Saccharomyces cerevisiae S288C: one gene and its partner. The protein of the gene in region 1 interacts with the protein of each later gene in a pairwise test. Each region holds a gene or a part of one and is shown in the gene's direction. Other genes may lie near its edges.

The links.
Region 2: the proteins of YSF3 (region 1) and HSH155 interact in binary tests that used the Saccharomyces cerevisiae proteins (3 or more experiments, as listed by UniProt).

What each region holds. Positions count from the first base shown.
Region 1 is NC_001146.8:364,282-367,129, forward strand, and holds YSF3 (U2 snRNP complex subunit YSF3), read left to right. Parts: upstream 1-1,751; coding exon 1,752-1,754; intron 1,755-1,876; coding exon 1,877-2,131; downstream 2,132-2,848. Other genes in the region: THO2 (Tho2p), read right to left, coding at 1-1,436; SRV2 (adenylate cyclase-binding protein), read left to right, coding at 2,460-2,848. UniProt on the Saccharomyces cerevisiae protein: Involved in pre-mRNA splicing. Required for the SF3b integrity and prespliceosome assembly.
Region 2 is NC_001145.3:843,698-849,099, forward strand, and holds HSH155 (U2 snRNP complex subunit HSH155), read left to right. Parts: upstream 1-1,873; coding exon 1,874-4,789; downstream 4,790-5,402. Other genes in the region: DSS1 (exoribonuclease II), read right to left, coding at 1-1,648; aminodeoxychorismate lyase ABZ2, read left to right, coding at 4,988-5,402. UniProt on the Saccharomyces cerevisiae protein: Contacts pre-mRNA on both sides of the branch site early in spliceosome assembly.

The sequences.
Region 1 (2,848 bases):
AGAATACCATTATCTATACGGGTTATCATCAAAGCAGTTGCCATATCTTTTGATTCACCAGATGAGGTCATTGATGTGTACAATGGATTTAAAAGATATTCAAATACTCTTCCCAAATATCTAGATAAGGATTCACTAACATATAACACTTTCGGATATTGCTTTAACACATGTATCACGGGAATAACGCAACCATGTATGAGTAAGCGTTCCAAGAGTTTTATTTTACCAAATAATAAAATATCTTGCTGAGTTTTCTGCTTGCCTTTTGATTCTATATCAGCGTTTGTTTCCTCAGAGATTTTATCCTTCATATTAACATCATCATTTACAACAAGGGCGTTGTCTTCGTCAGTTTCATTTTCAGTGGACAAAGCAGCTGCCATAGCCAAGGGATTTTCTACGCCTTTAGTGGACTCCTCTTCCAGTTCAGTTTCTAAGTTTTGAATATATTCTTGTAGAAATTCCATCTCTGGTTTAACGTTATCCCAAATAGAATAAAAATTGACAAACCCATTTTTCAGTAAAATGCAACACATATCCATATACCGTTCATAGTTTTCCTTATCGACTTCTTCGTTATATTGCGATAAATTGAATGAAATAATGTTTGCTGCAATCATATTACCGCCTTCATTAAGAGAAGAATAATTGGAATTGTTAGCTACATGGCTAGATGGCCAAGAATCCGACTTTCGTAAAAGAGCAATAAAGAACTTGTACCCTTCAGTGATAAACTGACTAGAAACGTTCAAAATAACATCTAAAGTACGAATAGAATCCAAGGAATATTTCCCCATAATATGATAGATTTCTTTCAAATATGCGGACACTTTGGAAAAATTGTCGGGATCATAATACGCCAATATTAATAAGGCTACCAATTGACCATAACCCACTGAATTTTCTACCAAAAGGTTATATTTCTTCAGTTCGTATTTTGACTTTTTTAACAAATGCCTTAATAAGGTGGTTTGTTCCTTGTTGAGCAGCTTAGAGGATATCCAACTAAATTTGAACAATTCTTCATGCAACGACGGTATTAGTTTACATAATGATATGGTTGTTAGATCATTTATATTTGGAACAGTGCTTGAGACGGCGATAAACATTTTACCAACTATGGAAGCCTGGGACACTTGCCTTTCATGATTCACTAATTCATTAGTAAATGATGCAACATCAGAAAGCTTGAGGGGAGAATTTTCATCGTTTTTATTTATGAAATCAAACAGTTCAATAAACAAAGTCCTCAACCAGTCTTCCTTTTCATCATTTGACTCCAGTGCAGTGAAATCGGAGCAGAGAGTTTTTGATCGTTCAGGCCAGTTTCGTATCACCTCTTCCGTTAAAATGCTTGCCTGACTAGGGGAAGCTGGTGGTATCACTTTTTGAGAAAGAGCGTTCAATTTGGAAAGTAGCGTCTGTTCTGCCATAAAGTCCTGAAAATGTATACTGGTGCGAATATGTATCAACTGAAACCGTTTCACCCTATTATGCTTTAGATAAAGACGATAAAATCACAGCCCTATAATTTATGCAACAGTGTTTGCTTCTAAATCAACGTGTTCCCTGGGCATAAACTCTCATACGTTATGTCGCTATTGAAGAAATAGCGGAAAATCTTACGCCGAAGTTAGCGTTGTCACCCGGGAAGAAGAGAAGAACATAAGCCTTCTCATTCAGAACATGTAAATAGTGGCTAAAATGGTTATATTACACAATTCGAAACAGTGAAATTAAGAAAAGAAATGGTATGTTACGTTCTATTGCGCTTTAGTTTGAATTGAAATCATCTTTACCATGGTACTAACTACGCTTGCGATGAATCGTGCAAGTCCGTGCGGCTTATACGTAATGCTAATACTCAAAACAGGCGGAAAAGCAGAGGCAGTTGAAGTTGCAGAAGATATACAAACAAAAGTACATCGGACTGGGAGATGAGAGCACTACACGAGAACAGTGGCAGAGAAATGTGAGAAACGATACACTAAATACATTACAAGGCCACTCCGCATCTTTGGAGTACGTTTCATTGAGCCGAGGAGACCTTAGTATACGTGACACTCGTATTCACCTCCTGAAATCCATGTCCCCTGGCTATAAAGCCTACTTACGAGAAGAGAGGTAGGACGTTGAAGCCACATCCATAAATAATTTTTACATAAAATTACGCCTCGTATGTCGTTCTCAAGATTTATGGTAGAGATCACACTCAGTCAGTAACCTTTTAGGCATTGATTCTAGTAACTGTCGAACATTATTAACCTTGATGTTTATATAAAGATATAAAATGTTGGGACAGTATACAATTCATATCGTTTAAAATGATCTATACATGTCGCGTGAAGTCATAAACAGGGATTTAGAAGTGAAATCTTTTGGTAGTATAGGGGAAAACTCAGCTTGAAACTTTTCGTAATTGAGTAGGCCAAGTTGCAACCGTGTGAAATCGAATCATGCCTGACTCTAAGTACACAATGCAAGGTTATAACCTTGTTAAGCTATTAAAAAGGCTAGAAGAAGCCACTGCAAGATTAGAGGATGTCACCATCTATCAAGAAGGTTATATTCAGAATAAATTGGAGGCATCTAAAAATAACAAGCCTTCCGACTCCGGGGCCGATGCGAATACTACGAATGAACCTTCTGCAGAAAATGCTCCTGAAGTAGAACAAGATCCGAAATGCATAACTGCGTTCCAATCTTACATCGGTGAGAATATTGATCCGCTGGTAGAATTATCAGGAAAGATCGACACGGTGGTCTTAGATGCTTTGCAGTTGCTAAAGGGAGGCTTTCAATCGCAATTGACTTTTTTAAGAGCTGCTGTGAGATCAAGAAAACC
Region 2 (5,402 bases), on another chromosome or scaffold:
AGTTTTTCACCGACACGCCGTCATCAATCTCATGCGCAGTTTCAGAGTCTATACAAAAAACCCTAAGATCGCCAAAATCGTACCTATCGTCATCAGTGCCGGATTTTTTCCATTGCAATTCTTCTATATTAGTTAAGTCGTAGAGTTTTTGTTGCCATTTCACTAACTTCGAGGAAGCAGGTAATGCTAAATCCATGTTAAGTAACAATGGATTGGGTATTGAGTTGGGTGTTATCTCATTGATTAAATCTTGACATATATCTCTTGTGATGTCACAATCCTTATAGCGTTCTATCTTTCTGAATATTTTTGAGATCAAAGCTACTATAATTCCGTTATTGTGAAAATTCCCAGCAGCAAAATCTTTCAATAATTGGATCACAGAAGGATATAAAGCTGATATATCGCGATATTTCCTTTCATTCACCAATTTTACAAACTTATTGACCTCTCTATAACTGTTGGCTTCTAGCTTCTCTATCACCTGCGCATAATATAAATGTTGTGATTTTAAGGGAATAATCGTTACTGATATAGGCGACAGCAACGCTGTATTCAGATGGATTTCCCCCCAAAGGTTCGATTCCTGTTGTTGCATAATCGCCCAGTACGTGGAAACAAAGGTAGGTGAATTTATTGGTATATCGTTTACAGTGTGATAGTTATTAACTAAACTAGTTAAGTAATTTATTCCATTTTTATCGTCCAAGGCTTTATTTAAATCCAATTTCTGAACTAATCCGACTAGGGTAAAAAAAGGAATCTGCCATGGACCCATATAATTTTGTAATGATCTGTGGAGTAACTGTAATTTTTTGGTAGTAATGGGCAAATCTTTCCAGGCCAACTTTGAAATTTGGGCTGGATACCTACTTGTTATTAGCTGCCTTGCTACAATAGGCAAAATATTCGTTTGGTTAGAAAAGTTCTTAACGGTTCCAATTGGCAAATGTTTGTGATGGCTCTCAGGCTGTATAAGTGAATGGATTCCAGCAGGTAATTTGTGAGGAATCCTCAATAACACCCGGTTTTTGGTCGCAAAGCACATAGTTCCATCAATAGTAACAAAAGTGTATCGAGGATCCATAGTGCTACTTGGAAGACTTACACACATCGCCAATTCATTGGGTCTCATTTTTAAAAGAACAAAGTCACCAACATTTAAGGGACTTTCCATTAGCTGAACAGGTTGAAATTCCATTGGGTTTGGAGCTTTCAGTTTTGTTATTAATTGAAAATCTGAATTTATTAACTTGTAAAGCGGAATTTTTGGTTTTGTTAAAGACCTCCAGGAGTTTACGTACCAATCTTCGGAAGGTTTAACATACCTATCTTTATAACGTTGGTTAAATTCCTGTTTAATTTGAGGCAGTTGTTTTAATTCAATATCAGGCTCTAATCCTTTTGTTCGTTGCAGAAAGTCTTTGTTTATTGATTCTATATCTTTCTCCGGTCCAACCGAACGGTCTACAACTGTCTCTGTAGCTTGATCATTATCTAGCTCTCGTGTGTGATCTAGTTCTACTTTTGCTTGCTGCTTACTCTTACTTCGCTGTCGTTTGCCTCTGGTAGTTACTCTGAAGCAAGGTGTGTAGGAATGAAAGCTCCTTGCAATTAGAAGAACATGTACTTTCCGCCTAACTACCATCACCTGTCTTTATTTATTCCGCTGACAGATATGCACAACCAATTATCGTCTCTTGAAAGCTTTTTAGACGTGATTGCTGTTATTTGGCACGTTGTTAGTATTTAAGCTTATTCGGGTTTGCATTGATATTTGCCCGAGCAGAAATCTCCTTCTCGATGAGTTAGAACTGAAACATCTCTTCAATTACTTATACATAATAAACATAGAAAGCCAGGACCTGTCATCATGAGTCATCCGATTCAATTTGTAAACGCTAATAATAGCGATAAGAGCCACCAATTAGGCGGTCAATATTCTATTCCTCAGGATTTGAGGGAAAACCTGCAGAAAGAAGCTGCACGTATTGGTGAGAACGAAAAAGATGTGCTACAGGAAAAAATGGAAACTAGGACAGTGCAAAATCGAGAGGATTCATACCACAAAAGAAGGTTTGATATGAAGTTTGAGCCGGATTCCGATACACAAACTGTTACGTCTTCAGAAAATACCCAAGACGCTGTCGTGCCAAGGAAAAGAAAATCTCGTTGGGATGTAAAAGGGTACGAGCCACCTGATGAATCTTCAACAGCGGTCAAAGAAAACTCTGATAGTGCTTTGGTTAATGTAGAAGGAATCCATGATTTGATGTTTTTTAAACCTTCTGACCATAAATATTTCGCCGACGTTATATCCAAAAAACCCATAGATGAGTTAAATAAGGATGAAAAGAAAGAAAGAACCCTGTCGATGTTACTTCTGAAAATAAAAAATGGCAATACAGCGAGTAGGAGGACTTCTATGCGGATTTTAACCGATAAAGCTGTTACATTTGGTCCAGAAATGATATTTAACCGCTTATTGCCCATATTACTAGACAGAAGTTTGGAAGACCAGGAAAGACATCTAATGATCAAGACCATAGATCGCGTCCTTTACCAGCTAGGAGATTTAACAAAACCTTACGTTCACAAAATACTTGTAGTAGCTGCCCCATTGCTAATAGATGAAGATCCAATGGTTCGTTCAACAGGCCAGGAGATAATCACCAATCTGTCTACAGTCGCTGGCCTAAAAACCATTCTAACAGTAATGAGACCTGATATTGAGAATGAGGATGAGTATGTTAGAAATGTAACTTCAAGAGCGGCGGCTGTGGTGGCAAAAGCCCTTGGTGTTAATCAATTGCTTCCTTTCATCAATGCAGCATGCCACTCACGGAAGTCTTGGAAAGCAAGGCATACTGGCATAAAAATTGTGCAGCAAATAGGTATACTTTTGGGAATAGGTGTCTTGAATCATCTTACTGGGCTGATGAGTTGTATCAAAGACTGCCTAATGGATGATCACGTTCCGGTGCGAATTGTTACAGCACATACTTTATCAACACTAGCAGAAAATTCTTATCCATATGGTATCGAAGTTTTCAACGTTGTACTGGAGCCATTATGGAAGGGTATAAGAAGTCATCGTGGTAAAGTGCTATCTTCTTTTTTAAAAGCTGTTGGATCTATGATCCCATTGATGGACCCAGAGTATGCCGGTTATTATACCACAGAAGCAATGAGAATAATTAGACGTGAATTCGACTCTCCCGATGATGAAATGAAAAAGACCATTCTTTTAGTATTACAAAAATGTAGCGCTGTAGAATCCATAACGCCAAAATTTCTGAGAGAAGAAATCGCGCCAGAATTCTTTCAAAAATTTTGGGTCAGACGAGTGGCATTGGATAGACCATTAAACAAAGTTGTTACATATACTACTGTTACATTAGCAAAGAAATTAGGTTGTTCTTATACCATTGATAAATTATTAACACCATTGAGAGATGAAGCTGAGCCGTTCAGAACAATGGCTGTCCATGCTGTTACTAGAACAGTAAACTTATTAGGGACAGCAGATTTAGATGAGAGATTAGAAACGAGGCTTATTGATGCGCTCTTGATAGCATTTCAAGAACAAACAAATAGTGATTCTATAATCTTTAAAGGGTTTGGGGCAGTGACGGTGTCACTTGACATCCGTATGAAACCGTTTTTAGCACCCATTGTGAGTACGATTTTAAATCATTTAAAGCATAAAACTCCCTTGGTTCGTCAACATGCAGCAGATCTATGTGCCATACTAATACCAGTCATCAAGAACTGTCACGAATTCGAAATGTTGAATAAATTGAACATTATATTGTATGAATCCTTAGGCGAAGTATATCCAGAGGTATTAGGTTCTATAATCAACGCTATGTACTGTATTACTAGCGTAATGGATTTGGATAAACTACAACCTCCTATTAATCAAATTTTACCAACCTTAACTCCAATTTTAAGAAACAAGCATAGAAAAGTCGAAGTAAACACTATCAAATTTGTTGGACTTATTGGTAAATTAGCACCTACCTATGCACCTCCTAAAGAATGGATGAGAATATGTTTTGAACTATTAGAACTTTTGAAAAGTACAAATAAAGAAATAAGAAGATCAGCAAATGCCACGTTTGGATTCATTGCTGAAGCAATTGGACCTCACGATGTTCTTGTTGCGTTATTGAACAATTTAAAGGTTCAAGAACGTCAGTTACGTGTATGCACGGCTGTTGCTATCGGTATCGTTGCTAAAGTGTGTGGTCCTTACAACGTGCTGCCAGTAATCATGAATGAATACACAACACCAGAGACTAATGTTCAAAACGGTGTTCTCAAGGCCATGTCATTCATGTTTGAGTACATTGGTAACATGTCTAAGGATTACATATACTTCATAACACCATTATTAGAAGATGCACTCACCGATAGGGATTTAGTTCATCGTCAGACAGCGTCGAACGTAATAACCCACTTAGCTTTAAACTGTTCAGGTACAGGTCACGAAGATGCCTTCATTCATTTAATGAATCTTCTAATACCCAATATTTTTGAAACTTCACCACATGCTATTATGCGTATTTTAGAAGGTTTGGAGGCACTGAGTCAAGCTCTTGGCCCTGGACTATTCATGAACTACATATGGGCAGGATTGTTCCATCCAGCGAAGAATGTAAGGAAAGCATTTTGGAGGGTGTATAATAACATGTACGTAATGTACCAGGACGCCATGGTACCTTTTTACCCCGTTACACCAGACAACAATGAAGAATATATAGAAGAACTGGATTTAGTTCTGTGAATATATATAGAGCATATAAATAACCACAACTTGTAAGAATATTTTACTTGACACACCTATATCATCACGTCACGATGCCTTCATAGATTATGATGAAATATAAACAGAACCTGCTATTGGAAAAAAAAGGGCAGGAAAAAATTTTGTGAAAGTGAGTAAAAGAAAGATGAAGAGCGAGACATGGATAATAAGAAATAGATGTCACTAATGGACAATTGGAAGACTGATATGGAAAGTTACGATGAAGGAGGCCTAGTTGCTAATCCGAACTTCGAGGTTCTGGCCACTTTCAGGTACGACCCTGGTTTTGCACGCCAGTCAGCGTCAAAGAAAGAGATCTTTGAAACTCCAGACCCTCGATTAGGTTTGAGAGACGAAGATATTAGGCAGCAGATAATTAATGAGGATTACTCAAGTTATTTACGAGTAAGGGAGGTTAATTCCGGCGGTGACCTTCTCGAAAATATTCAGCATCCTGATGCTTGGAAGCATGATTGCAAGACCATTGTGTGCCAGCGTGTAGAAGATATGCTACAAGTCATTTATGAACGATTTTTTTTATTAGATGAACAATACCAAAGAATAAGAATAGCATTATCATACTTTAAAATTG